Linked DNA regions of Callithrix jacchus. The protein of the gene in region 1 binds, or shares a complex with, the protein of each later gene. Links are inferred from orthologs where the notes say so. Each region holds a gene or a part of one and is shown in the gene's direction. Other genes may lie near its edges. The genes, in order: SPINDOC and SPIN1.

Region 1 (15,830 bases):
CTTGATAATATAAAGACTAATCATGGGCCAAGCACGGTGACTCACGCCTGTAATCCCAGCACTTTCGGAGGCTGAGGCAGGTGGATCACGAGGTCCACCTGGCTAATACGGAGAAACCCCCGTCTCTACTAAAAACACAAATTAGCTGGGCGGGTGGTGCGTACCTATAGTCCCAGCTACTCAGGAGACTGAGGCGGGAGAATCACTTGAACCCGGGAGGTAGAGGTTACAGTGAGCCGAGATCACACCACTGCACTCCAGCCTGGGCAGAAGAGCAAGTATCTGTCTCAAAAAAAAAAATTAATATCTAATAATAGTTTAGACTAAAATCTAATAATCTAATTTTTAAAATGAGTGAAGGATTTCAACAGACATTTCTCTAAAGAAGACATAAAAATGACAAAAAAAAAAAGCACATGAAAAGGTGTCTGATGTCATTAGACCAATAGGGAAATGCAAATCAAAACCCGATGCGGCATCTCTGTGCACCCACCAGGATGGCTGTAATTAAAAAGATGGACAATAACAAGTGCTGGCAAGGATGTGGAGCAATCAGATGCCTTTTACACTGTTGGTGGGAATGTATGATGATTCGGCAGCTGTGGGGAAGAGTATGGCAGTTCCCCAATAAGTTAAACAGAATTACCATATCATTCAAAAATCCCACTTAAAGGCATATACCCAAAGTAATTGAAAAAAACAGATGTTCAAACAAAAACTTGTAGGCCGGACACGGTGGCTCACGCCTGTAATCCCAGCACTTTGGGAGGCCAAGGCGGGTGGATCACGAGGTCAAGAGATCGAGACCATTCTGGTCAACATGGTGAAACCCCGCCTCTACTAAAAATACAAAAAATTAGCTGGGCATGGTGGCGCATGCCTGTAATCCCAGCTACTCAGGAGGCTGAGGCAGGAGAATTGCCTGAACCCAGGAGGCAGAGGTTGCAGTGAGGCTAGATCGCGCCATTGCACTCCAGCCTCGGTAACAAGAGCGAAACTCTGTCTCAAAAAAAAAACTTGTACATAAATGTTCACAGCAGCTCTATTCACAACAGCCAAAAAGTGGAGACATCCTGATGAATGGAAGTAAAAGGTTATATATACATACGATTGAATATTATCCAGAAATAAAAAGAAATGGCCGGGCGCGGTGGCTCACGCCTGTAATCCCAGCACTTTGGGAGGCTGAGGCGGGCGGATCACGAGGTCAAGAGATCAAGACTATCCTGGCCATGGGGTGAAAGCCCATCTTTACTAAAAATACAAAAATTAGCCGGGCATGGTGGCACGTGCCTGTGGTCCCAGCTACTCGGGAGGCTGAGGCGGAAGAATCACTTGAACCTGGGAGGCGGAGGTTGCAGTGAGCCGAGATTGTGCCACTGTACTCCAGCCTGGCGACAGCAAGACTCTTGTCTCAAAAAAAAATACAAAAATTAGCTGGGCTTGGTAGGACATGCCTGTAGTCCCAGCTACTAAGGAGGCTGAGGTGGGAGGATTGCTTGAGCTCAGGAGGTTTAGGCTGCAGTGAGGCATGTTTGCACCACTGTACTCCAGCCAGAATGACAGAGTGAGATAAACACACAAAAAGGATAAGAATCAATCTCTTTTGCCTAATTCTGCTGCATTTGGGTTATGTATTTATATATATGTTTTTTGAGACAGAGTCTTGCTCTGTCGCCCAGGCTAGAGTGCAGTGGCGTGACCTCAGCTCACTGCAACCTCCGCCTCCCAGGCTCAAGCGATTCTCCTGCCTCAGCCTCCCAAGTAGCTGGGATTACAAGCACCTACTACCACATCTAGCTAATTTTTGTATTTTTAGTAGAGACAGCGTTTCGCCCTGTTGGCCAGGCTGGTCTCAAACTCCTGACCTCAAATGATACACCCACCTTGGCCTCCCAAAGTGCTGGAATTACAGAGCCACCACACCCAGACAGGTCTTTCCTTAAAAAGTAGAAATGACATTTTAAATTCTGATTATAAAAGCAAAAATATCAGACAATACAGGATACTTTCACAAAAAAGTAGGAATGGCTTCCAGGAATTCTCTTATGCCCACCAAGCTTACTCACCTCATTTTATGACACCATCGTACAGGGGACAAAGTCATTTGGTGATAAGAGGAGATCCACAGTGCCCAGCACTGGATAGGCACATGGGCAGTGGAAGAGAAACGGGTTTGAAATATACAGAGCTAGAAGCTAGTCTGCGAGAATTAGTGGCCCATCTCCTGCCACGTGGAAAAAGCCAGGCTGCAGGGAGAGAGTACAGTGGATATACACAAGCAGAGGCAGAAACTGGGGAGGAAAAGAATGTCATGGCAGCATGTACGTCCTGGGTCCGGTTATTCCTAAAGTCGCCTGTATCCCTGCCCTTCCCACAATTGGGCATTCAGCCCTCCCTTAACATTAAATCCCCATTTTGTTCGAGCTAGCTTATTTATTTTTTGAGACGGAGTTTCGCTCGTTACCCAGGCTGGAGTGCAATGGTGCGATCTCGGCTTACCACAACCTCCGCCTCCTGGGTACAAGCAATTCTCCTGCCTCAGCCTCCCGAGTAGCCATGGTGCGCCACCATGCCCAGCTGATTTTTGTATTTTTAGTAGAGATGGGGTTTCACCATGTTGACCAAGATGGTCTCGATCTCTTGACCTCGTGATCCACCCGCCTTAGCCTCCCAAAGTGCTGGGATTATAGGTGTGAGCCACCGCGCCCAGCTGAGCTAACTTATTTATTTATATATATTTTAAGATAGAGTAACCTAGGCTGGAGTGCAGTGGCACGATCTCGGCTCACTGCAACCTCTGCCTCCGAGGTTCAAGCTATTCTCCCGCTTTGGCCTCCTAAGTAGCTGAGACTACAGGGACCTGCCACCACCCTGGCTAATTTTTGTTTTTGTGTTTTTTTTCTTGAGACGGAGTGTTGCTCCTATTGCCCATGCTGGAGTGCAATGGCGAGATCTCGGCTCACCATAACCTTCGCCTCCTGGGTTCAACAATTCTCCTGCTTCAGCCTCCTGAGTAGCTGGGATTACAGGCGTGCGCCACTACGCCCAGCTAATTTTGTATTTTTAGTAGAGATGGGATTTCTTTATGTTGGTCAGGAGATCACCTGAGGTCAGTCTCAAACTCCTGACCTGAGGTGATCCTCCCACCTCCCACCTCCCAAAGTGTTGGGATTACAGGTGGGAGCCACCACGCCTGGCCTTACTTTTTGTATTTTTAATAAGGATGAGGTTTTGTCTTGTTGGCCAGGCTGGTCTCGAACTCCTGGCCTCCTGTGATCCACCTGCCTTGGCCTCCCAAACTGCTTGGATTACAGGCGCGAGCCACCACGCCCGGCCTTAAGCTAGTTTAGATTGAGAGTTTTGCAACAAGAATTCTAGTGTGGCCACTGAGTTGGTGCTAACACCACAGATTCTGGGCTTATGCCGAAACAATAAAGATGGACAAAAAATGGACCTGCAAAAAAAAATTATAGCACGGCATGCCAATTTCATAACAGTGGTGTTCCCGCCAAGCACAGTGACTCATGCCTGTAATCCCAGCACTTTCAGAGGCCAAGGTAGGCAAATTACAAAGTCCGAAGTTCAAGACCAGCCTGGCCAACACGGTGAAACCCCGTCTGTACCAAAAATACAAAAAATTAGCTAGATGTAGTGGTGGGTGACTGTAATCCCAGCAGCTACTCAGGCGGCTAAGGCAGGAGAATCACTTGAATCCATGAGGCAGAGGTTACAGTGAGCCAAGATCTCATCACTGCACTCCAGCCCTGGCGACAGAGTGAGACTCCGTCTCAAAGAAAAAAAAAAGTGGTGTTTCAAAGGATATGGGGCCAAGAGACACACTTCTGACCACATGCACCAACTGAATACAATTTCACCGAGGAGTGCTAAATTTTAGGGACTGAAGAATTCAAGTGGGAAACTGATACCGACATTGTTAGTAGGTCATTATTTTTCTTCTTTTGGATGACTTTAGGCTAAGTTGGCATTAGGATTACTGAGCCGAAGATCATGGCTATATATTTATTATGGCTTTTGCTGAAGACCGCTACTAAATGCCAAGCCAGTTAAGAGTGAAGGCCCCCGCCCTTACGTACCCTTCAGACAGCCCTCTCCTCATTTGGAGCTGGGTCTAGTCCACTAGCTTCAGTATCTACCCTATTTCAATATCCCCACAGCTATCCCCACTTGAGGCAGTCCACTCGCTGTCCCAGCTTGTCACTGGGATCCTAAAGTGCTACCAACAATAAAAGCTGTGCCAAAAGGAAAAGCTTTGCCCCCAGCCTAGGGGACACTATGGGGGAGTGGCCGGGAGCAACTATTTGTTGGAACAGAAGCCATTGGTTCTCCTCTCTCCTGTTTCCGGTCTGTTCTGCCCTGTCCCAGGAATCTCATGTCTTAAGGCCAAATTCACTAAGTCAAAAGAGGTAATTTATCTAATAAGGGTCTGTCTTCTCTCCTACACAGGGGTCAGTCTCAACAATTAAGATTCCCTGCTGGGTGTGGCAGCTAACGCCTATAATCCCAGTACTTTGGGAAGTTGAGGTAGAAGGACCACTTAAGCCTAGGAGTTTGAGAGCAGCCTGAGCTACACAGGGAAACCCCGTCTATTAAAATACAAAATAGGGCCGGTGGTGGCTCACACCTGTAATCCCAGCACTTTGGGAGGCCCAGGAGGGCAGATAACCTGAGGTCAGGAGTTCCAGACCTGCCTGGCCAACATGAAGAAACCCTGTCTCCTACTAAAAATACAAAAATTAGTCAGGCATGGTGGCACACAGCTGTATCCCAGCTACTCAGGAGGCTGAGGCAGGAGAATTGTTTAAACTCAGGAGGCAGAGGTTGCTGTGAGCGGAGATCACACCAATGCACTCCAGCCTGGGTGAAAGAGCAAGACTCCATCTCAAATAATAATAACAATGATAAATTAAATAAATAAATAAATTCCAATTCTTGGCCAGGCACAGCGACTAACACTTGTAATCCCAGCGCTTTGGGAGGCTGAGGCAGGAGGATCGCTTGAGCCCAGGAGTTCGAGGCTGTGGTGAGCTCTGATTTCACCACTGCACTCCAGCCTGGATGACAGAGCTAGACTCTGCCTCAAAAAAAAAAAATTCTTAATTTGGCACTTACTATGTAGCTATGTAGCCAGTGGAGGGGAATTCCCAGAATTCCTAATAACTCCACTGACGATGGTCTGGAGTCTTCCCTCATAGCTCAGCACAGAGGGTTTACTCAGCAGAGCAAGCATGCAAGGAAGAAGGCCTGTCTTTGCAGGCAGACTGATTTGCTTCTGTGACGTGCGTGTTGTTTGATGTGGTTTCTTTATCTACGCATTGTAGTGTTAAGAGCAAGGACGGGATAGACAGAACCAGGGTTGGGTCCTACCTTAGCAACTACCCACGTTTCATTAAATCTAGGACATCAGCCAGGCATGGCGGCTCACGCCTGTAATCCCATAACTTTAGGAGATGGAGACAGGCGGATCACGAGGTCAGGAGTTCGAGACCAGTTTGACCAACATGGTGAAACCCCGTCTCTACTAAAAATACAAAGATTAGCTGGGCGTGGTGGCACACACCTGTAGTCCCAGCTACTAGGGAGGCTGAGGTAGGAGAATTGCTCGAACCCAGGAGGCGGAGGTTGCAGTGAGCCAAGATCATGCCACTACACTCCAGCCTGGCGACAGAGCATGACTCCATCTCAAAAAAAAAAAAAAAAAGGCCGGGCGCGGTGGCTCAAGCCTGTAGTCCCAGCACTTTGGGAGGCCGAGGCGGGTGGATCACGAGGTCAAGATATCGAGACCATCCTGGTCAACATGGTGAAACCCCGTCTCTACTAAAGATACAAAAAATTAGCTGGGCATGGTGGCGCGTGCCTGTAATCCCAGCTACTCAGGAGGCTGAGGCAGGAGAATTGCCTAAACCCAGAAGGCGGAGGTTGCGGTGAGCCGAGATTGCGCCATTGCACTCCAGCCTGGGTAACAAGAGCAAAACTCCGTCTCAAAAAAAAAAAAAAAAGGGGAAGTGAAGTCACTTTGTGGTCATGAAGTGGCCTCATCTATGTCTCATTCTAAAAACATAGCTTACGTTCTGCTGGTAACAGTACAGTCTGAATGCCAGAAAAGGCATCTTTCACTTTCTTGATATTCCTAAACTTCACACTGATGTCAATTACAGAAAGCATCCCCATTTGGGGGATATTAAAATATGGGGGAAATAGTCACCTTAGGCTTAATGAAATAAGATTCTTGCAGTATTACCTTGGGCAAGTAATCTAACCCTTTAAGCTTCAACTTCCTGTTCTATAAGCTGAGAATAATATGACTTAAAAGAAAAAATGTCTACTAATTGGGTGGTACAATACTGTATCACTCAAGGTTCAACCAGGAAAATAGGAACCACTTTTTTTTTTGAGACAGAATATAGCTCTCATCTCTCATGGTGGACTGCAGTGGCACGATTTCAGCTCACTGCAACCTGCGCCTCCTGGGATCAAGCAATCCTCCTGACTCAGCCTCCTGAGTAGCTGGGATTACGGGCAAGTGCCACCAAGCTCAGCTAATCTTGTATTTTTAGTAGAGATGGGGTTTCTTCATTTGGTCAGGCTAGTCTTGAACTCCTGACCTCAGGTGATTCACCTGCCTTGGCCTCCTAAAGTGCTGGGATTACAGGCGTGAGCCACCATTATTTTTTGTTTTGTTTTTTAGTAGAGATGGGGTTTCGCCTTGTTGGCCAGGCTGGTCTCAAACTCCTGACCTCAAGGGATCCACCTGCCTCAGTCTCCCAAAGTGCTGGGATTATAGGTGTGAGCCACTGTGCCCTGCCAGGAGGGAACCACTTTAAGTATTGAAAACAGAATGTAATGCAGGGTTGTGGTGACATGGTTAATAGGGGTAATGGCCAGTGTGGACAACATGGTGAAACCCATCTCTACTAAAAATACAAAAAATTAGCAGGGTGGTGGTGGTGCGCACCTGTAGTCCCGGCTGCTAGGGAGTCTTAGGCAGGGGAACCACTTGGACCCAGGAGGCCAAGGCTGCAGTGAGCTGAGATCATGCCACTGCACTCCAGCCTGGGCAACAGAGCAAGACTCAAACAAACAAACAAACAAACAGGGGTAATGGAAGGTCTGGGAAGCCCAGCAGGGGACAGAAAGAGGCAGTACAGAGATTAGCAAAAGCAAGAAGCTGCCCACCACTCCTAACCTGAAGGGACAAACAGAGGAGCTGGCCTAGATGGAGCCCAGGGGCATGGATCACCCTACAGATGTTGGGACCTCAGCTCCCTGTCCATGAGCTGGAGCCACAGAGAGGCCTCCTCTGCTGCTGGAGATGTGCCTCAGCCTGAGCAAGAGAGACAAAGAGAAGAAATACCCTGGCTTTTTCTTTCCTCCTGCCTTCTCCTCTCCTGCCACTGCCTCTCACTGGCCAAACTGAGGCCCGAGGCCAGATGCTCTGGGAGACTGAGAAACTGCCCAATACAAGATTCAGCCCCCTGCAATACAGAGCAGAGCAGAGGGGCAAGGAAGGCATCTGTGGCAAATGGTAGAGAATGACTAATAGAAATAAACAGGTTTAGTAATACCTTTATTTGTAAAACCTTTAAAATACCGAAAACACTTGTATGTAACAAAATAATTCATTTAAAAATATACTGCAGTCCGGCCCGGCGGGGTGGCTCATGCTTGTAATCCCAGCACTTTGGGAGGCCAAGGTGGGTGGATCACGAGGTCATGAGATCGAGACCATCCTGCCTAACATGGTGAAACCCTGTCTTTACTAAAAATACAAAAGTTATCTGGGTGTGGTGGTGGGCACCTGTAGTCCCAGCTACTCGGGAGGCTGAGGCAGGAGAATCACTTGAAACCGGGAGGCAGAGGTTGCAGTGAGCCAAGATGGAGCCACTGCACTACAGCCTGGCAACACAGCAAGGCTCTGTCTCAAAAAAAAAAAAAAAAATATATATATATATATATACACACATATATGTATATGTGTATATATACATATATGCATATATATGTGTGTATATATATGCATCTATATGGGTATACATGTACATGCATATGTGTGTATATATATACACACACACACACACACACTGCAATCCAAATAGCCTAGTTCACACTTCTTCTCCCACCCCCATCCGACTACACGTTTCTGAATACTACTGTATCTGGTCTGATATAACCACATTTAAAGATGGATTTTCAGTGTCAGACATTTTGCATTTTCTGAGCTGAAATCTCATGAGGGCTGCTATAGAAAAGGAAGATGCACATTCTATGTCACAGAAGTAAAAGCTCACCCAGAGTATGGTTGTAGCTCAGCAATTTCATAGCAACTAATCTCTGGTCTTGGGGCTCTCAAGGGATTGCTGTGTGTCCTTGGAGAGGGTCACAAAATCTCTGGACTCACGTTTAAAAAATGGAACTCATACCCATCCAGGGTGGTCTGCGTCCGCCCACAGTCCACTCCGCTCCTCTTCTTTGCCTTCCCAGAGGGTCCAAAATGGTTTTTGAAAGGATGAGCTGGTCTAACAAAACAGATAACGTGCCCACGGTCACAGAGCTGGCAGTTGAGAAGGAATTCGGTCTCCACGCTTCCAAGCCCAGGCCCTTTCCACTCCCCCACCGGCTCTCTCCCTGCGCGGGGCATCTGCTGGCGGAGAAAGGCTGGTCCACGGAAAGGCAAAAGCGAACCCCCTTCAAAAACTGGGGGCACCTGGTAGCGCTCTCCACGCCAGCAGAAACGCCCAATCGGTTTCTCAATGGACAGAGAACCCCAGGCTCGGCCAGCCGACTCAGGCGCCCGCGCTGGGGGAATCTGGGAGCCCCTCAGACTCTGCGAACAAGACGGCCCCGGGTCCGCTCAGCCCTTCCCGCCGCCTCCCGGGTCCAGGGATTCTAACGGGGCCGCGTGCCCGGGGCGGGGCCGCGCGCGATTGGCCGCGCGGGGCCGGGGGCGGGCCCGCGGCGGGCCGGCCGGGCGGGAGCTGACAATGAGCCTCCATAAAAGGGAGCGGCAGGGGGCAGGGGCCCCGGATTGAGCCCTGATTGAGCCCTCCCCGCCCGGGCTCCCGACGCGCCGAGGTCTCGGGGAGGCCCGGACGCGCCGGTGGCAAGTTCGGCCGGCGAGTGGCGGGGAGGGGGCTGTTCCGGGCGGGAGGCTTGAGGCGGCCGCCAGCTGCGCGCCGAAGCCTGCGCGCCCGTCCTCCGGCCACCGCTTTCGCCCACGGCCGCACGATGGCCGTAAAGGCCGAGGGCGCCGCACTCGACTGCTTTGAGGTGACGCTCAAATGCGAGGAAGGGGAGGACGAGGAGGAGGCCATGGTGGTGGCCGTAATTCCGCGGCCTGAGCCGATGCTCAGAGGTGAGGATGGAGGGGACCCCACTTCCGCGTCACGGTGCGGGGCCGCCCTTCCCCAGTCGGGGTCTGAGACCTGGGTATCTTCTCACCCCCTTCAGCCTGGGGCGCAGCCTCCCCTCGGTTGTGGGTCCAGGGCGCGCTCTCGCACCTCCCCCACCTTGGTTTGGAAGCTCAGGCCTCCTCAATTTCCCCTCGCTCCCCCTCCCCCTCCCCCCGTCCGGGGTCTGGAGACATCGATCCACGCCCCGCACGCTCCGGATCTTCCGGTGCCCGAGCGCCCCCTCTCCCGGGCCCAGCACCGGAGGCCGGATCCCCAGAGGTGCTGGGTGGCCGCCGTCTCATCGCCTGAGAGGCGGAGGCCAGCACCACGGCCCGGCTGTGTTCTAGGCTGAGGGGCGGCGAGGCCTCTAGGCCCGAGGCTGGAGGCGCGCGCCGCTGCCGACCTCCAATAGAATTTAAAGACTCTCCAAGCACAACGCTTTCCTGCCCAGCACCCCGCTTCATCGCATTCCCGAGCCTTCCATTTGCACGAGCCACAGGTGTCAGGTTCTGGAGAGAAGGGCTGCATGGGACTGCATACGACACCTAGTTTGGGAAAGCAGTGCAGTGCCAGAGTGAGCTTCGCTTTGGGAGGGGACGGGAGAAACAGTTTGAGAACGTTCGCTCTCCCCTCCCCCTTCACCGATTTCTTTAGTCCTCAGGAGCTTGCAGACCGTCAGAAAACCAAGAGCCATGTTTGTGGGAAAAACTTAATATGCGTGAAAATGCAAATATCTTTCCATTCTTCAGTCCCACTTTTCTTAGGGGGGGGATAGTACCCAAAAGAGGTTGAAAGCCCCAAGGCCATTCTTTAAACTTCAGCCCAACCGAATGCTGTCTGTCTGCACTGCCTCTCATCCTTTTTGGAACTGGAAGGGTTATAAAATCAATGAGGGAAATAAAGGTCACCTCTCTCCTCGGAGCATTTAGTTAGGTTATTTTCCTACTTCTGCTGCTAATATTTGTTGAGTGTTCACTGGGCATTGTTAGAGGCTGTCTCAGTTAATCCTCTCCACTCTGCAAAGATTGCCTTATGCCCACTGTTAGGGTGGGAATAGACAGGTGAATTCATGCAACCAGTATTCACTGGGTATCTGCTTTAGGCTGTTGAGGCTACTGTTTTAGGCTGGGAAGCAGCAGTGGCAGTCAACAGAGCAGCCGAAACCTTGCTCTTGAAGAACACATATATGCCAATGGCTGAAGACAAATACATAGGTTCCTGTATAGGATGTTAGGTGGCGATAAGTCGTTCAGAGATCACTAGAGCAGGACGAGGAGAAAAAGGGGGAATGGGTATTCAATTTGGTATATCGAGTGGTTCAGAAAGGCTTCTCTAATAAGGTGAATTTTGAGCACAGACCCGAAGGAAGTGAGGATGGCCAACTTTGCTGATACCTGGAGGAAGAGCATTTCAGGCCAAGTAGCAAGTGCAGAGGTCCAGCAGCACACGCTTCTGCAAAGATTTCAGCGGGGAGGCGAAGAGAGATTGAATTCAAGGTTTTTGGCCTGAGCAACTGGAGAAACAGCCTTCCTATTTTCTGAGATGGGGAAGGTTGCAGTACTCATGGGAGATTGGAAGTGAGCGTTTAAATATGATTAAGTTTGACATGCTATTTATGACATATTCAGGTAGAGAGGTCACTAAACAGTCAGATACAGGAGCCTAAATTTCCTGGAAGTATCTGGCTGGTGGTGTCAAGGAAATTGCCAGCAGGCAGGCAGTGGCATCAGAAGGAAGTAGACACAAGTGTCCAAGGACCGAAGGCCCAGTGCAATGGCTCATGCCTGTAATCCCAGCACTTTGGGTGGCCTAGGTGAGTGGATTACCTGAGGTCAGGAGTTTGAGACCAGCCTGGTCAAAATGGTGAAGCCCCGCCTCTACCAAAAATACAAAAATTAGCCAGACATGGTGGTGCACGCCTGTAATCCCAGCTACTCAGGAGGATGAGGCAGGAGAATCGCTTGAACCTGGGAGGTGATGGTTGCAGTAAGCCAAGATTGAGCCACTGCACTCCAGCCTGGGTGACAGAGATAAGACTCCGTCTCAAAAAAAAAAAAAAATGTTCAAGGACTGAGTCCTGGGAAACTCCAGTGATGGCAGGTTGTAGACCGAGTCAGTCCATCCTCACAATTACTAAATGCCACTACATGCCAGGTACTGCTGTTCTTGGTGCTGGAGATCCAGATGCAAAACATCAGAAATCTGTGTGGTCCTGTATTCTATGGTGGTGAGGAGACAGGCAGTGAACATCCCCCAAACAGGTGCCGGGTGGTGACGCGTGCTGGGTTGGAAATGCTGCGTAAGGGGAATGGAGTGGTCTAGATGGGGAGATAGTTCTTCAGCAACAACCTGGAGGAAGGGAGGGAATATTGAGAAGAGACGAGGAAGAACCAGCACACGTGACTTAGAAGGAGTGCCAGGGAAGTAAAAGAAGAACCAACAAAAGGTCATTCCCCGGACGCAAGTGATGCAAATCAAGATGGAAGAGGTGATCAGCAGAGGCTGACGTTGAAAAACTGGTCACCGGGTTTAGCACTGCTGACGTGGATGAGAGCTGCTTGGGAGAACTAGTAGGGAAGAAAGCTGATGGCAACTGACAGGTCAGGTTTTCTGCCCATGGTCACGTGAGAGATGGGTATAAGACATGTCTAGTCTCTATTTCAGCCACCACCTCTTGTATCCATGCAAGCCGAGGCTCCTATTTATTTCTAATGCCGCCTCTTCCATGCAGCCTCCAGGTGTTTTAATTTTGTCTCGTCCTCTCTGGAAGGTAGGAGAGAGATGCAGCCCTGAGGGATCATGGGCACTTCGTCAAAGCACTGAGCCTCCAGGCTGATGCAGTTCTTAGGCTACCTTTGCTGAACTGGAAAGGGCTGGTGCCCTGTGAGAGCTTATGGTCTGTCTGCACAAAGAGCAGGTATCAGACAACAGGAGTGAGACTGCAGCTGTAAATGTGTGAGCACTGAGGGGAGGGTTCTGAGGGGATGGGGTGGCCCTTAGTAAGATGATAAAATATACTGTTCTGGGCTGGGCACGGTGGCTTGTGCCTGTAATCCCAGCACCTTGGGAGGCTGAGACAGGAGGATTGCTTGAGCCCACTTCAAGACCAGCCTGTTACTATGGGCAACATAACAAGATCCCATCTCGGCTCACTGCAACCTCCGCCTCCTGGGTTCAAGCGCTTCTCCCGCCTCAGCTTCCAGAGTAGCTGGGACTACAGGCGCTTGCCACCACGCCTGGCTAATTTTTTTTTTTTAGGTTTAATTAGATAGGCATGATAGTGTGCATCTGTAGTCCTAACTACTCAGGTGGCTGAGGATGGAGGGTCCCTTCAGCCCAGGAGTTAGAGGCAGCAGTGAGCTGTGATAGCACCACTGTACTCCAGCCTGGGCAACAAAGTGAGACCAGACCATTTCTTAAAAACACAAACAGGCCGGGCACGGTGGCTCAAGCCTGTAATCCCAGCACTTTGGGAGGCTGAGGCGGGTGGATCAAGAGATCAAGACCATCCTGGTCAACATGGTGAAACCTCGTCTCTACTAAAAATACAAAAAATTAGCTGGGCATGGTGGCACGTGCCTATAATCCCAGCTACTTAGGAGGCTGAGGCAGGAGAATTGCCTGAACCCAGGAGGCGGAGGTTGCGGTAAGCCGAGATCGCAGCATTGCACTCCAGCCTGGGTAACGAGCGAAACTCTGTCTCAGAAAAAAAAAAGAAACACACAAAAAATTATTAGCCAGGCATGGTGGTGCTCACCTACAGTTCCAGCTGCTTTGTGGGGGCTGAGGAAGGAGGATCGTTTGAACCCAGGAGGTCAAGGCTGCAATGAGCTGAGACTGCACCATTGTACTCCAGCCTGGAGACAAAGTGAGACTCTGTCTCAAAATAAATAAATAAAAATTTTTAATTAAAAAAATTTACTTTTCTCACAAAGCGTAGAAGTCAGATTTGGATGAGATCTGTTGTTAGGAGTGGGGTCTTGGAAGGCTTCTCAGGGATGGTGTCACCCAGCTCAGTCAGGGTGGTCTGGACAAATGTACAAAGGCTGGAGACCAGCAAGAACGTGGCTGTTGGAAAAGTATGTGTAGTCCTAAGGCCCAAGAGTAGGCAAGGGGAGTGGGATCCTGGGCACACTGGCTGTGTTTAGTGTGATGTGTGCCTCATGGACTCCAGGGGAAGGAAGAAGAACAGTCTGGACAGAAATGCTGTCCCCCCGCCCCACCCCACTCAGACCTCTGAGTCTGGAGCTGTGCTAAGTATTGTCGGTGGCGGGCACCTTTAGTGATAACACCCTCCGCATCTCCCCTCGCAGTGACCCAACAGGAGAAGACCCCGCCACCTAGATCCAGCCCACTGGAGGCAGGCAGTGATAGCTGTGAGGAACCCAAGCAACAGGTGTCTTGGGAGCAGGAATTCCTGGTGGGCAGCAGCCCTGGAGGCAGCGGGCGGGCACTGTGCATGGTGTGTGGTGCTGAGATCCGGGCACCCTCGGCCGACACGGCGCGCTCGCACATCTTGGAGCAGCATCCTCACACCCTGGACCTGAGCCCTTCCGAGAAGAGCAACATCCTGGAGGCCTGGAGTGAAGGGGTGGCCCTCCTGCAAGACGTCAGGGCTGAGCAGCCATCCCCACCCCACTCAGGTAGTTGGGCCTGGGGTGGGTGAAGGGAGAAGGTGGACTTGCTGAGACACTAGAAGCTCACTGTGCCCTTGCCCCCTGCAGACTCAGGCCAGGATGCCCATCCAGACCCAGACTCCAACCCAGACCCTGCCAGAGTGCCAGCTGAAATCGTCGTGCTCCTCGACTCTGAGGATAACCCATCTCTCCCTAAAAGGAGCCGTCCCAGGGGACTTCGCCCCCTCGAGCTTCCTGGTTAGTTAACGGGGAAGCCAGTGAGCCCCGGTGGAGTGGAGGTGGGGGTTTGGGGACACGGTGAAGTACAGATCCTGTGTTCTGGGCAGGAATCTTTGGGAGCCCTGGGGTGGCAGGGTTGGGGGATGGCCTCTTAAAGAAGGTATGAGGTCTTTTCTTTTCACAGCTGTCCCTGCCACAGAGCCAGGAAATAAGAAGCCACGTGGTCAGAGATGGAAGGAGCCCGCAGGGGAAGAGCCAGTCAGGAAGAAAAGAGGCAGACCTATGACCAAAAACCTGGACCCTGACCCAGGTGAAGGGGAGGCTCAAGGGAGGTATGGGCTCTGCTTGCAGGGCTCCACGGAGATCCACATCAGTGAGGATGGACCAGGGCCCGGGCACTGGGCGCCTGCAGCTCCCCTGAAGCATTTTCACTCACAGTTCCATCCTGTCTTCCCTTCCAGAGCCTCCATCACCAGACTCACCCACGGAGACTTTTGCAGCACCAGCAGAGGTCCGACACTTCACTGATGGCAGCTTCCCCGCTGGCTTTGTCCTGCAGCTCTTCTCCCACACCCAGCTCAGGGGCCCAGACAGCAAGGACCCACCCAAAGATGGGGAAGCGGCAGAGGAAGCCCTTCCCCGGGAAGAGAGCCCCTCTCCAGGTAAGCCCTCCGCAGCAAGAGGCACGGTGGGGACCTCACAGGCAGTACCCCTGGGCCGGGCCTCAGCAAGGCTACTCTGTGGCGGAGCCCAGTATCGGGTAGGTGGTGCTCAGGTTTCCTGGGACACGGGGCCAGAGGCAGGGGGATCTGAATGATGAGGGAGGCTGACCTGAGAGTTGAGTTTTTCTTTTAAAAAAAAAAAAATTATTATTGTTTGTTTTTTGAGATAGCATCTTGCTGTGTCACCCAGGCTGGTATATAGTGGCACAATCTCAGCCCACTGCAACGTCTGCCTCCCAGGTTGAAGCAATTCTCCTGCCTCGGCCTCCCAGTAGCTGGGATTACAGGCAGGTGCCACCACGCCTGGCTAATTTTTACATTTTTAGTAGAGATGGGGTTTGGCCATGTTGGCCAAATCCACCCACCTCGGCCTCCCAAAGTGGTGGGATTACAGGCGTGAACCACTGTGCTTGGCCTATTTTTTTATTTTTTGAGGCAGTCTTGCTCTGTTGCCCAGGCTGGAGTGCGGTGGTGTGATTTGGTTTCACTGCAACCTCCAATTCCAGGTTCGAGCAATTCTCCTGCCTTGGCCTCCTCAGTAGCTGGGACTAGTGCATGCCACCACACCTGAGTAATTTTTTGTATTTTTAGTAGAGACAGTTTCGCCATATTGCCCAGGCTGGTCTTGAATTCCTGAGCTCAGGCAGTCCACCCTCCTCAGCCTCCCAATGTGCTAGGATTACAGGTGTGAGCCACCACGCCCAACCAGCTGAGCTTTTCTTAGTGTTCCTTAGGAGTTTTCTGGAATTGGTCATTGGGTCAGGGTAGGCCGTTTCCCAGAAGCTGATTTCCACATATACAGTTGTTCTAGCTAGAGTATGAGAGATGCTCTGTTGGAGCAG
Region 2 (15,236 bases), on another chromosome or scaffold:
GCAGACCTGGGTTTTCTGGCCTCACAGTCTCGCACTTAACCTTGTGAATCTCCTTCCCAGTCTCCCTGGTTAGGCTCCGATCCTCTTGCTTAGTTTTTCACACCAAGGAGAAGCTTCCGTTCTGTGGTGAATACTCCTTATCGTCTCTCATGGCCCATTCCCCTCTGACTTAGCTGCATTTATGTTACCAGTCTAGAGGAAATTCTTTCTATTTAGAAAATAGATAATTTTAGTTTTAAACATTACAACCTACAATAAATTGTTTCTTTAAAAAACTTGTTTATGTTATATGTCAGACATTAATCACTTTTTTTCATGGTTTATGAAATGGGAGCTTTATATCCATGGAACTGTGGGAAGGGAATTTCTTTCAGCTGTTTTCATTCTTGGCATATATCAGCAACCATTGTGTTGGTTTTGGCCTTCAGCTTGCCTCCAAGAAGCCAAGGTTTCAAGGTGAAATGAAGATTTTTTTCCTGATATCAAGAGCCAGGTGTATTATTTATAAACATCCTATATAGATTTTTCAGTTGCTAATAATCAGAAAAAAATAGTGTGATGTTTTAATAATTTATAATATTACATTGTTTTTTATAAACTTCAGTTTTAAGATTATATGTTTCCTAGACAAGTAATATTTCTGTAGTGCATTGATATAAGCTAGTGTGGACTTCAGTTTAAGAGAAAATTGTCTAGTTTATTTTTGTTTAAGCCTGTACAGGCAGAATAAGGTGGGCACTAGAGTGGGTTAAATTGAATAACCATACATTTCTTTTTAACTTGAAATGGATTCATATTATGTAAAGCTATATACCTGTGTGATTATTGGTAAAATGTATTTCATGGGTCAGCCCTTCTGCTTCTTTAATCAACTTAGATAATTTTGAGTTGATTGAATTAAACTCAGAAAGCTGAGGACCTGATGATTAATGGTAGGGCTTAAGTTGCTATTGACTAGTAGGTTTTTTTTGCCCCTGTCTGTATACAGTTGAGGTACACAACAAGTTCCTATTACTAACATACCATGTTACACACTCACCACCACTGGTACATGGGTAGAGATAACCACCTTGAGTCATCTGAAGCAGGAATGTGGCAAACGAGTTTGTACAGATTTTGGGACCATCTGTAATGAGAGCGTATTAGCCCGTTATGTTAGATCTAGACCTGCATACTTTTGAGATAATACCTTATGTCTGTATATGTGTGAATGCAGAAAACATCGGAGCAGTGTGGGGCCGAGCAAACCTGTTTCCCAGCCCCGGCGGAACATCGTAGGCTGCAGGATTCAGCACGGGTGGAAAGAGGGGAATGGCCCTGTTACCCAGTGGAAAGGAACCGTTCTGGACCAGGTGCCTGTAAATCCTTCTTTGTATCTTATAAAATACGATGGATTTGACTGTGTTTATGGACTAGAACTTAATAAAGATGAAAGAGTTTCTGCGCTTGAAGTCCTCCCTGATAGAGTTGGTAAGTTCTTTTTACTATTTGTGCATTATATGCTTTAAAAATGATATTGAAAATGGATGCTTTTTTATCATTTTATATTATTAATACTTTCACTTTTATTGAAACACAAGCACCCCTCCTAATAAACATTATATTAAATCACTGACAACCACAAAAAATGGATCCAAAGCAATTCAAGGAACTGTGTAGGGGATATAGAGATGTGTATTCCCCCTCCCCCAAGAAGTTTGCAACTTAATAATTTATAATACAGTTATTCTAACGTTTTTGCTCACTGTTCTCTGGACTCTGGTGGGTAAGGTTATCAGTAGCTCAGATCTCCTGTGTGTTGATCTCATCAGATACAAAAGCTAAGAGAATGTGCATTTACTTTACAGTCTATATGTGAAAGTGTATCTTTGATTGTATACAATGTAAATGAGAATTGTACTTGGAGCCAAAATATAAGCAACCAAAACGTGATCTTTATTGTACACAGAGCTTATTTGAACAGTATTTGTGGGGATGAATGGCTCTTTTAAAATGTCATGTAGTGCCAGTTTTGCCTTACAAATGTTCCTTAAGACGTAAGGTCTAAGGTAAATGATAATTACTGACTTTATTTTTTAGTAGGGTGGGATACACCCAAATTATTACTTTTTTGCAGTATTTATTTTGAAATATTTTCTTATTACAGTGATGCTGCTCTTGTTTAAAATACTGGTTTGTACTTTGAGAATTGTCTTTAATAGTCTATACCATTAAATAATAAAGCTTCAGCAGATCTAGACTTTGGAGGTAGGAATTTTGGGATCAGATTTCACGGGAAGAAATTAATTGAGTTTCCTCACTTTGTTTTTCTTCAGATTGTGCCATTGTATTCCTGGGATATAACAGTTTCCCTAGCAAGTTAATTCTGCCATAGTAGCAAGTTATTTTGTTAATCTTCTATTTAGATATCAAATCCGAAATCTTTGTTCATCTGCATAAATATGGTTCAGTTTTCAAAGAAATCTTTCTTTAAATATAAATCTTTATTATTACTCCTAACGGTGATATTAAATCTGTTATTTTCAACATTCTCATCTGTTCTTAAGTGTGACTGAGTACCTGCTCTTCCTCTTGATGTACATCTACATTTCTTCTTGATCATAACGTTAATCCATTTCTCACATAAGAAACTTTAACACATTAAGAATTTTAACAGCAGAATTTTAGCCTCTGCCCCTTCTGAGACAAGACAAATAGCTCACTTGAAGGTTCCTGCATATTGATGCGTGACCTGTGGCTGTTAGTCTTTTTGTCATTGAAGGATAGAAACTGTGCAAGTATCTGGTGATGGTATTAAGGGTTCCATGTTGTTTGTAGTTTGGGATTATCTGTTTCCAACAATATTGATTTTGTAAACAATAAAGCAATTTAAAAAGAAATCCAAGAGCTTCTATGTAAATCAGCAATATATATGCCTAATTCAGCTAATAGTTGCTATTAATTTTAGTACTCACTGTATTATGGTTGGTGCAAAAGTAATTGCAGTTTTTGCCATTGAAAGTCATGGCCAAAACAGTAGTTACTTTTGCATCAACCTACTTTAGTCTAAAAAATTACTTGCTTTTCACCTATGCTTTACATAGGAAGAAATTTGCTTCAGGTAGTATATTAGAGTATAATTAAAATTATGTTTTTCTTAAGCTAAAGTTGGAGAAAAATGTCAGTCAGCCAAAATGCATGTGATGTCACAGAGCAGTGGTTCCCAAAGCAAAGTCCGGGGACCCTTGGGTTCTCTGAAGCCCATTCAGGAGATTTGCACGGTCAGAGATATTTTCATATTGATAAGTTGTAATTTGCACTTTTCACTCTCTCTTTTTCCTCAGTTACACAGTGGAGTTTCCCACTAGCTATTTGGAAGATTTGCATAACTTAGTGAACACAAAATTTTCTTTATGAGCAATGCATAGTACCAGATCATGCACTGGTGGTAGAGCTGTAAAAAGTGCAAGACTAACTACTTTTCAATTGTAAAAAAAAATGTGTATCATAAAATTTACTGTCCTAACCTTTTTTTTTTTTTTTGAGACGGAGTTTCACTCTTATTACCCCAGGCTGGAGTGCAGTGGCGTGATCTTGGCTCACCGCAACCTCCACCTCCTGGGTTCAGGCAGTTCTCCTGCCTCAGCCTCCTGAGTAGCTGGGATTACAGGCACGCGCCACCATGCCCAGCTAATTTTTTGTATTTTTAGTAGAGACGGGGTTTCACCATGTTGACCAGGATGGTCTCAATCTCTTGACCTCGTGATCCACCCACCTCGGCCTCCCAAAGTGCTGGGATTACAGGCTTGAGCCACCGCGCCCGGCCCTGTCCTAACTATTTTTAAGTGTACAGTTCAGTAGTGTTAAGTACATTCACATTGTTGAAACAGATCTCCAGAACTTTTTCATTTTGCAAATCTGAAAATCTACCTATTAAACAAAACAGTGTGCCTTTCTTCCCATTCCCAACCCCTGGCAATCACCGTTCTACACTCTGTCTCTATAAATTTGACTACTCTGGATATAGAAGTGGAATCATACATATTTGTTTTGTGAATAACTTACTTAGCATAATGTCCTCAAAGTTCATCCAAGTTGCAATGTGTGACAGGATTTCCTTCCCTTTTAAGGCTGAAGAGAACATTCCATTGTATCTCTATACCACAGTTTATCTGTTTACCCATTAAGGAACATTTGGATTGCTTCTACCTCTTGGTAGAATATAAAATTGTGAATAGTGCTGCTGTAGACATGGGTATGCAGATGTTTCTTTGAGATCCTGCTTTCGATGGTTTTGGTTATAGGCACATGGGATTGCTGGATCATATGGTAATTACAATTTTATTTTTAATATCATAATTCTAATTTCTTAGGTAGAACTACCATACCGTTTTCCACAGCAGTTGTACCATTTTCCAGTCCCGCCAGCAGTACACGAGGGTTCCCGTTCGCCATCCCTTAGTCAGCAGTTGTTATTTACTGTTGTTGTCATAGTGGTCATGCTCATGGGTGTGAGGTGATACCTCATTTGGTTTTGATTTGCATTTCTCTGATGATTAGTGATGTTGAACATCTTTTCATGTGCTTGTTGGCCACTTGTATATCATCTTTGGGGAAATATCTATTTAAGTCCTTTGACCATTTTTTAATCAGGTTATTTGATTTTTGGTTTTGAGTTGTGAGAGTTCTTTATGTGTTCTGGAGGCATGAGTTTCAATGTAAGAGTATGACAAATTTATTAATGGTTTCAGATTCTACATTGTAACTAATTTTTAAAGAGTTAGCTGTTGAATTTTGTAGTTTCATATAAGACTATCTAGAATTACTGAAAGACAGAATACTCTCCTTTTTCAGCATCATAACTTTGTAAAACTGGATTTTATACATCAAAAGAACAGATCATAACAGATTGAGCACTAAAACAGATATGAGAATCTAGTTGTTCTTTTTGAAACCTAGACAATTAGGAGATTTGCAAAAATGTAAAATTATGCCACTCTTCTTACCGTATTTTGATAGGAAATAGTTACTTTTAATTTAAATTACATTGTTATACAGATATTTTAAAATAAACGTTTCTGGATTTGTTTTTTATTTTTTGAAATAGTAAGTATTGGTAGGAATTGTCTGTGTAAACAAATGGCTTTTTTAGGTCTTTAGTAATTTCTATTTACTTTTAAATTATGTTTTTGGAGACAGGGTCTCGCTTTGTCACCCAGGCGGGAATATCATGGCTCACTGCTGTCTCAACACCTTGGTCTCAAGTAATCCTCCTGCCTCAGTCTATTGAGTAGCTGAGGCTACAGGCACACATCATGATACCCTGCTAATATTTAATTTTTGTAGAGATGAGATCTCATTATGTTGCCCAGGCTGGTCTCAAACTCCTGGCCTCAAGCAATCCTCCTGTCTGGGCCTCCAAGTGCTAGGATTATAGGTGTGAGCCACTGTGCCCAGCCAGTAGTTTTTAAGAATGCAAATACAGTTCTGAGATCTAGTAGTCTGAGAGCTACTAGCTTTAAGAAACTAGTGGGGTTCTTTTTTAGTGTCACGCACAGAGGGAATTTGTAATTTTTTATTATTACTGCACACTTAAAGAAAACCAACCATATAGGTTTAGAGTATGCTGATAAAATTAATAGCAATACATTTGTGAAGAAAATCTAACTTGTTTCTTTTGATTTAATAGAAATAGAAGTCTGATGAATGAGGAAAATAGGAGTGCTAATTGTTTTTTGTTGTTAACACAGGGTCTCACTCCTGTAGCCCAGGCTAGAGTGCAGTGCCGCCATCTTGGCTGCAGCCTCGGCTTCTGGGTTTAGGTGATTTACGACCTTGGCTTCCTGAGTAGCTGGGACTACAGGCCTGCACCGCCACACCTGGCTAATTTTTTGTATTTTTAGTAGAGACGGGATTTTGTCATGTTGCCTAGGCTGGTCTCAAACTTTTGGGCTCAAGTGATTCGCCCGCCTTGGCCTCCCAAAGTGCTAGGATTACAGGTGTGAGCCACCGCGCCTGTCTCAATTTTTTTTTTTTTAAAGACAATTGTGTATATTTTAGGTAAAGACAATTATCTAAAATTGTTGACTGGAGAAACCTTAAAACCAGTAGGATCCTTTATAATTTTTCTAGTATTAAAAAGACAAAGATGATAATTTTTACCCACTTTTGAAAAGTATTAAGGGCAAGGACTGTTAATCTCTTATTACAGATACCTGAGCCCTGGTTACACCGGACATCTGATTAAATCATACAACAAATATTGACCTGCTGTGATCTAGGTATAAAAGAAGAAAGGGAAGGTCTCAGTTTTCATGGGGATATACCAGCAACATACAAGTACCACAGATACATAAAGTGGGATAACTTTAGATCATGGTGAATGTTATTAAAAGTAAAACTGAGTAGTAATGTGACGGATTGGTAGGGCTACCTTCACCTTGTTGGTCAGGAGAACCCCAAGAGGAACTGGCCTTCTGAAGGTGTGAGGAAGAGCTTTTTAACAGGCAGAGGAGAGTGTGTTCTAATGGGAGAGGGAGAAGAGCAGAGTAGAGGAGGTATGGGCAGTGAGGAAGCAGATGGCAAAACTTGAGGGCAGAGGCGTGATGGCTTAGGGCTTGGGGGCCATAGTGAGCAGTTTGGTTGTTTTTCAAATTATAAAGATAAGGTGTGGGAACATTGTAAATCACACAATCTGGTATCAGTGACACAGTGATTACTTTGGTTTCAGTGGAGAATAAGATTGTAGGAGCAAGAGTAAAACCTATGCCTTAATAAAAAATGGAAACAAGACTAAAGGAAAACAAACACCAGTTTCTTTAAAATAAAAAAAAAAAAAACTTGTGCCTTGATTAGGTTCATTTCTAAGTTTTAAATAAATGTTCTGTGGTCATGTGAGATGCTAATACAGGAAAAGCAAGGTGAACTATATACAGGAACTCTACTATTTATGTAATTCTTCTCTAAGTCTGAAGTTATCTCAAAATTTAAGTAAACAATAAAAAAATATATTTTATACCTTGAATGAACAATTAACACTTGTGATGTGGGTACAGAACCAAGAGCAGACGAGTCCAGAAGATTTTTTTTTTAAATCATATTTTTTTCAATTCACTGACTTGTGACAAAATACTTCTATTCCTGTTGAATTCAACTCTGAGCTGGGGCCCAGTAGTTTGTGTTGGGTTTTTGTACTTCTGAAAGCCTTCACAGATTTCTGATGCTTGCTAATACATTGCATGGACAAAATTTCAGATAGTCTTCTTTAGTAAATTCAGTCTTCATAGGCAGTAATCAGTTTGTCAACTTTTATTTTTTAAATCCCCAGCAACATCTCGAATCAGCGATGCACATTTGGCAGACACAATGATTGGCAAAGCAGTGGAACATATGTTTGAGACAGAGGATGGTTCTAAAGACGAATGGAGGGGAATGGTCTTAGCACGTGCACCTGTTATGAACACATGGTTTTACATTACCTATGAGAAAGACCCTGTCTTGTATATGTACCAGCTCTTAGATGATTACAAAGAAGGCGACCTTCGCATTATGCCTGATTCCAGTAAGTATATATTGGCAACTTTTATTTTGGATAATTCAAAAGGGATTTGGATTTTAGTACAAGATATTTGATTGGCTATTTTGCAGATACATTTTTATTTTTGGATATATAATTATTCTTTTAGTCATACACAAACACAGGCTTTGAAATTTTTCATCTTGTCATGAATTTCAGTTAAGAAAATGTTTGATAATTAGTTCTGCTTGGCTTCTATAATAAAATACAAGTTGTTTTATAATTGTTAACACTACTACATGTTACTTACTTTTATTTAAAAACATGATGGAATAGGGAACAATAAAACACGTCCCTATGTACCCCTGCTCAGCTTTAACAGTTACTGTCTCATTGCCTATCTAGTTTTATCTGGTAGTCCCCCCAATGTAATTATTTTGAAGCTAGCCCCAAGACATTGATTATTTTATCTATAAATACTTGAACTTCAGAGCAGCAGTTTTCAGCCTTTTTTGGCACCAGGGACCAACTACTTTTGTAGAAGACAGTTTTTCCATGGATTGGGGGTTGGATATAGAGATGGTGGTTTTGGAGTCATTAGATTCCCACAAGAAACACGCAACCTAGATTCTTAACATGCGCAGTTCACAATAAGGTTTGCACTCCTATGAGAAGCTGATGCCCTGCTGATCTGACAGGAGGTAGAATTCAGATGGTAGTGCTCTCTTTGCTCCTGCTCACCTCCTGCTGTGTGGCGTGGCCCAGGTATTGGGGACTCCTGATTTAGAGAACATCAGTTTTAGAAAACAGCTAATTGGGGGAGCTTTTCTGTAGCAACTGAAGTACAGAGTCAGTGTTGAGACAAATCATTTTAGCTATTTCCACAAGTAGTCTGTTCGTGAAGGGACGGTAGAAAAGGATGTACCTGGGCTAATTTCATTAGGCCTAGAAAAGCTTTATTCTGTTATTTCTTTAGTTGTTGTCATTGTTGTTTTTGTTTTGAGACAGAGTCTTGCTCTGTCGCCCAGGCTGGAATATAGTGGTATGGTCTTGGCTCACTGCAACCCCTCCTTTCCCTCCCCAACCAGGCTGAATCAAGTCTCCTAAGTAGCTGGAACAGCCTGGTGCCTATCACCATACCTGGCTCTCTGTGTGTGTGTGTGTGTGTGTGTGTGTGTGTGTGTGTAAGTAAGTAGAGACAGGTTTTCACCATGTTGCCCAGGGTGGTCACGAACTCCTGAGCTCAGGCAGTCCGCCAGCCTTGGCCTCCCAAAGTGTTTGGATTACAGGTGTGAGCCACCGTGCCCCACCATGTTAGAATTTCTTCTAGACCATACAGTTAGTCCATTTAAATTGTGCAATTCTGTGCTTTTTAATACATGCACAGATAGGTACAGTCCTCACCATAGTCAATTTTAAAACGTTTTCATAACCTCGAAAGAAAACCTTGTATCTGTTAGGTATCAGTCCTTTATTCCTTCAACCTGTCTTCCTCCTAGCCTTAAGGAACCAATAATACTTGCTGTGTCATTTTCCCTGTTGTGGACTTTCATATGAATGGACTATATGGTGGGAGGTCCTTTGTGCTACTTTCTTTTCACTTAGCATGTTTTCAGATTTCATCCACGCTGTAGCGTATATCAGTACTTCATTCCTTTTATTGGCCAAATATGATTCCATTGTATAGATATACTACATTTTGATTAGCCAGTTTATCCAATAAAGGACATTGGAGTTGTTTCCCATCTCTTGGTTGTTATGAATAATGCTGCTGTAAACATTTGTGTACAGGTTTCTGTATGGACATGTTTTCTTTCCTTTGGTTTTATTCTACCTGGGTATGAAATTGCTGGCTCCTCAAGTGAGCCACCTGCCTTGGCCTCTCAAAGTGCTGGGTTTACAGGGGTAAGCCACTGCACCCAGCCTATTGGCCCTATTTTTATCATTTATGGTGAAATATTTATTCATAGCCCCTGCCCATTTTTAAATTGGATTATCTGTCTTTCATTATTGCATTGTGATAATTTTTTTTTTTTACATAATAAGACCCTTATCGGATATAGGTTGCAAATATTTTCTCCCATTCCATGGGATCTGTTTTTGCTTTCCTGATGATGATCTTTGAGGCTACAAAAGTTTTAAACTTTGAAGTTCAAGTTACGTTTTCTCTTGCTTAGTGTGCTTTTTGTGTCCTAAGAATCTTTTTTGCGAAATCTGAGGGAATGAAGATTTACACTTGTTTTCTTCTAAGAGTTTTATAGTTTTCGCTCTTAAATATAGGTCTTTGATGCATTTTTGAGTTAATTTTTGTCTGAGGTTCAAGATAAAGGTCCAGCTTCCATTTTTTTTGCATGTGATGCCTATTCAATTGTCTTAGCACCATTTTTTGAAAAGACTGTTCTTTCCCCCATTGAATGTTTTTGGCACCTTTATTGAAAATCAGTTGACCACAGATACGTGGGTGTTTTTCTGGGCTCTCAGTTTTATTCCGTTAATTTGTATGTCTGTCACTATACCAGTGCTGCATTGTCTTGATTACATTGCTTTGTAATGAGTTTGAAGTCAAGACTTTTGAGTCCTGCTTTTTTTCCCTCCTCTTTTTGAGACAGTCTCACTCCATTGCCCAGGCTGGAATGCAGTGGCACAATCTCAGCTTACTGCAGCCTCCACCTCCCAGGGAACTGGGATTACAGGCATGCACCATAACGCTCGGCTAACTTTAGTATTTTTCATAGAGACAGGGTTTTGCCTTGTAATCTCAGCCTCCCAAAGTGCTGGGATTACAGGTGCGAGCCACTGCGCCAGGCCCCTGCTTTCTTTTTCAGGATTGCTTTGGCTATTCTGGATCTCTTTCAATTTCGTATCAATTTTAGAATCAACTTGTCAGAACAAAGAAGTCACCTGGGATTCTGATGGAGACTATGTTGAATTTGTAGATGAGTTTGAAAGAGCATTGCCCTCTTAATGTTAACAAGTCTTCTAATCCATGAGCATGGGGTGTTTTTTCACTGATTGATTGCAACACTTTGAAAACATTTTTTGTTTTGTTTTCCTTTTCTTTTTTTTTTTTTTTTTTTTTTTGTGAGAAGGAGTTTCACTCTTGTTGCCTAGGCTGGAGTACAATGGTGCGATCTCAGCTGACTGTAACCTCCTCCACCTGGGTTCAAATGATTCTCCTGCCCCAGCCTCCTGAGTAGCTGGGATTACAGGTGTCTGCCACCAGGCCTGGCCAATTTTTGTATTTTTAGTAGCAATGTTTCGCTATTTTGGGCAGGCTGGTCTCGAACTCCTGACCTCAGGTGATCTATCCACTTCGGCCTCCCAAGCGCTGGGATTACAGGTATGAGCCACAGCACCTGGCCTCGCATTTCTTTTATTAAATTCACTTCTTAGGATTTTGTTTTTTTTGATGCTGTTATACATATGAATTGAACTGTTTTCTTAATTTCACTTTTAGATAAGCTCATTCTTTTAAAAACTACTCGACGGCCTTCACACACAGGAATCTCTTGCTTTGGACAGATGTAAATGTAACTAGTAGACCCTTCATGCATCAGCCATGTGACAGTCATCTCTATTCCTTTTTTGTTTAAGTTTCTCCTCTGAAGAAGTCAGTTAATGAACTTACTAATTTGTTCATCTGGTCTTGAATTTCTACTTCTTATATATATATATTTTTAAGATTTGTGAGCTGGGTGTGGTGGCTCATGCCTGTAATCCCAACATTTTGGGATGCCAAGGCGGTTGGATCATCTGAGGTCAGGAGTTGGAGACCATCCTGGCCAACGTGGTGAAACCCCGTCTCTACTAAAAATAAAAAATTAGTCAGGTGTGGTGGCACACGCCTGTAGTGCCAGATACTCTGGAGGCTGAGGCAGGAGAATCGCTTGAACCCAGGAGGCAGAGGTTACAGTGAGCCGAGGTCATGCCACTATACTGCTGCCTAGGAGACAGCCAGACTCAGTCTTTAAGAAAAAAATTGTGTATAAAGGGGTAATAAAGAGGTAATACAAATTATTTATATACTAAAGAATTCATCATGAGAATGTTCCTTTAAAAAGCATTTTTCCAACCTGTGTGAGGTTACTTGAACATTTTTTAATAGATAAATACCTAGTCAAGCAAGTACTGTTAACCTAATCATAGGAAATACAAGGGCATTTGCAGTTCTCCCATCGCTTTTCCTAACCACTTTTTGATCTTTCCACTCCTTTAATTGTCCAAACTCATACGTATTGCGAGTGTGCTGTGGAAGCTTATTTACCTTTAGAAACAGTGGTCATGTTCTGATCTAATGAGTTCTGAAAGGATCTTGTTCAACTACCTGCTCTGATGATAAAACGGGACTCTACATGAGTCTCTTGGTTAGCTCAGTTACTATAAAATTCACATGTGATCGTGTATTTGTAATTCCTTCTTAAACACAAAAGTGCCACAAAAATATGGCAGTATGATGATACTGCTTAAGGGAAGAGAATTTTTAAAGAAAGAAGTTTAGCTTATATTTCTTTATTACTTTTTAAAGAGCTGATTATGCTCAGGTGTTTTATTTTTATTGCTTGTGATTCTTAGTACCAGAGATCACAGTCGCACTTTTTGGATTATCATTCAGTGAGAGAATTTATTGTAACCAAAGAGTCAGACAACTGTTAATACATATACATTTATATGGTTCACATCAGGATACTTGTGAGAGTAAAATGGCATTACTACCAATTGTGCCAGTATGACATGAACCATCTTAAGCAGCTGCAACCCTGGTTGCCCTATCTGAAGATTACTACAAGGAAAAGAGCTTTGAGTTTTTCAGAACCCATGCAATTTTTTAAAAAACAGAAGTATAATTGCCTACCTTTATCCCTCCTTTTTTCTTTTACTTTGTATTTTGTTGTTGGTAGTGGTTTGCTGTTTCTGTGTGTTTTGTTGTAGGCCAGAGGCAGTGCATTAACATTGGTGCAATCTCCTCTCACTGTAACCTCTGCCTCCCAGGTTCAAGCGATTCTCCTGCCTCGGCTTCCCGAGTAGCTGGGATCACAGGCATGCGCTAGCATGCCCAGCTAATTTTTGTATTTAGTAGAGAAGGGGTTTCACCACTTTGGCCAGGATGGTGTAGATCTCCTGCCCGCCTCTGCCTCCCAAAGTGCTGTGATTACAGGCATGAGCCACCACACCCTGCCAACTTTGGGGACCTTTTAGATAGTACAGATTCCTGGGCCATCCTCAGAGATTCCCTTGTACTTGGCCTGGGCTGAAGTTCATTCAACACCAATTTTTAAAGCGTGGAAAATTTTTTTAAATTTCGAATCTGAGGAAGATGATGTGAAATGCCGTAAAGTTGAGGGATAAGAAGATTTAAGGATTCACAGACTACAACCTATGGTACTTAGGCATTTTAAATGTATACCATATTCTCAGTAATCCCTGTAGGAATTGTCTGCCTTCAAATTATATTTCAAAGCCACTCAGACTTACTTTGAGTTAATTACAGCTACAAATTAAACATGGACCAAAAGAATTTTGGGATATGATTTTCAAAATTGTTCATATATCTAGATTGGGGTCGGCAAACTATTTTTATGGAAAAAGTTTCATTGGAACACAACCACACCCATTTATATACATATTATCAGTGGCTGCTTTCATGCTACAGTGGCAGAGTTGAACAGTTGGGACAGAGACCACATACCCTTAAGCCTGAAATATTTACTGTGTGGCCTTGTAAGAAAAAGTTTGCTGACTCCTGGTCTAGATAATCATCAATTTAGGGTATTTAGATTTTTTTTAAATTATGAAAATAAATATGTGAGTTGATTTCTTGGGAGGCCAAGGTGGGTAGATCACCTGAGGTCGGGAGTTCAAGACCTGCCTTACCATCATGAAGAAACCCCATCTCTACTAAAAATACAAAATTAGCTGGGCATGGTGGCACATGCCTGTAATCCCAGCTACTTGGGAGGCTGAGGCAGGAGAGTCATTTGAACCCAGGAGGCGGAGGTTGTGGTGAGCTGAGATTGCGCCATTGCACTCTAGTCTGGGCAGCAAGAGTGAAACTCTGTCTGAAAGAAAATATGTTAGTTGATTTATATCTAAAAATTGATTTTAAAATTTTCTCTCTCTTTTTTTCTTTTTTAATATAGATGATTCACCTCCAGCAGAAAGGGAACCAGGAGAAGTTGTGGACAGCCTGGTAGGCAAACAAGTGGAATATGCCAAAGAAGATGGCTCGAAAAGGACTGGCATGGTCATTCATCAAGTAGAAGCCAAGCCCTCCGTCTATTTCATCAAGTTTGATGATGATTTCCATATTTATGTCTACGATTTGGTGAAAACATCCTAGATGTCATCACAAACTGCCAAATTTGTGGAACTGTGAAATGTATTATTTGTAGACATAAAGACTTGATTGCTTTCCAGTTTAATGAAAGCTTAAATGTCCCTGCGAACCCACAATCTCTGCCAGCAGAACTGGTTTTATTCTGAATAGTACAGATTGATGTGAACACAAAGCATTTTGTGTAAGGAGAACTCCTTTCTCTTAAAAGAAGTCTGTCTATTTGGAGGGGAGTTACAGGCAAGTTTGATAAAAGTTAAGCTAGTATCATAGTCATTTAAAATTGTAATAGATCTTAATCATTTCCCCTTTACCCTAACACTCTTATTCTGCCGCCACAATGCAAGCATAGTTTGGTGTTTTCGTTATCGCCTTTTTTGAGATATATGTATCCGTATCTACCTATATCTATATGTGTGTATACATATATAATATATACACATAGATATCACGCACACACACATACACGCACACATACCCCACTGCAGTCTTTTCTTTGTGGGATTGGGATGGGGGTGACATAATTTTCTTCAATTTAACAGGAGTGCTTTACCCAAGTCAGTCATGGTTATGATATTACTGCTCTTTATTTAAAATTAAAATTTGGGCACAGGAAGCATATAGAAACATTCAGCTTGTTTCAAAAAAATCAGAAGTTCAGAGCACCTTTTTAGTCTGGAGCCCTTAAACTGTAAGTTCAAATGAGAATTACTTGTGAACAGTTAATGACCCACATTAGGAGTTTACAATCTGGTGAGAAATCTGGGTAAAAGGCTACCTTTAATTCTAAGCTTTGAGTTTTTTTAGTTACATTTTAATCATAATTTTTTTTAGCAAAGCCCAGGTCCTTGTTCCACACAGTGTCATGTAGGTGTATTTTGGACAGCATGTATGGTCTGTTGTTTGTACAAATCAGTAATCTGGATTTCAGTACATGGATTTAAAAGGCAACAATACGTCACTGGTTTGTGTGTTTTTGGTAAGTTTCTGGAGGAATACAATCTTTTTATATTGGAAGTTTAAGTTTTGAGTGGCATTATTGCCTTCTAACAAGCTCTCTGGGACTTTAAAATTTTTATTACTATTATTGCTAATGTATGATTATGGTTGGAAACTTCTGCTCCACCCCTTCCCCCTACCCCCTGGCTTTTCCTCACAGAGAATGTCTAGACAAATAGCAGCTTGGTCTCTTGACACCTTATGTGGGGTGCATGTTTCTGCTCCAGGTGTGCTGTTAATGTGGATTCATTCTATTCAGTGGCCCCTTGGGGTTTGCATGTCAGTGATGCGTTACCATGGAAGAGTCAGCCATTTGTGTTCGCTTGGTGGGTGTAAGTAATAGCAGCCCTTTGCCACGGTCTTTACATCGTTTCTTCTTGAAAGGTTGTTCTAAACTGAAATAGAACTGCA

Evidence for each region.
Region 2: the proteins of SPINDOC (region 1) and SPIN1 are in contact, whole or in part, in a crystal structure (PDB 7CNA), measured with the Homo sapiens proteins. The link is inferred for Callithrix jacchus from reciprocal best matches to the Homo sapiens genes SPINDOC and SPIN1. Residues at the interface, in NP_612480.1 of Homo sapiens: Phe256, Ala258, Pro259, Ala260, Val262, His264, Phe265, Thr266, Asp267, Ser269, Phe270, Pro271, Gly273, Phe274, Val275, Leu276, Gln277, Leu278, Phe279, Ser280; in NP_006708.2 of Homo sapiens: Met154, Thr169, Tyr170, Glu171, Pro174, Pro206, Val209, Val210, Leu213, Lys216, Gln217, Val218, Glu219, Tyr220, Thr229, Val232, Val242, Tyr243, Ile245, Phe247, Asp249, Asp250, Tyr254, Val255, Tyr256, Asp257, Leu258, Val259, Lys260, Thr261.

The regions. Positions count from the first base shown.
Region 1 is NC_133511.1:120,852,387-120,868,216, forward strand, and holds the start of SPINDOC (spindlin interactor and repressor of chromatin-binding protein), read left to right. Parts: upstream 1-9,043; 5' UTR 9,044-9,246; coding exon 9,247-9,373; intron 9,374-13,723; coding exon 13,724-14,053; intron 14,054-14,134; coding exon 14,135-14,284; intron 14,285-14,450; coding exon 14,451-14,576; intron 14,577-14,727; coding exon 14,728-14,928; intron 14,929-15,830. UniProt on the Homo sapiens protein: Chromatin protein that stabilizes SPIN1 and enhances its association with histone H3 trimethylated at both 'Lys-4' and 'Lys-9' (H3K4me3K9me3).
Region 2 is NC_133502.1:72,368,572-72,383,807, forward strand, and holds part of SPIN1 (spindlin-1), read left to right. Parts: intron 1-1,216; coding exon 1,217-1,470; intron 1,471-7,306; coding exon 7,307-7,540; intron 7,541-13,632; coding exon 13,633-13,832; 3' UTR 13,833-15,236. UniProt on the Homo sapiens protein: Chromatin reader that specifically recognizes and binds histone H3 both trimethylated at 'Lys-4' and 'Lys-9' (H3K4me3K9me3) and is involved in piRNA-mediated retrotransposon silencing during spermatogenesis.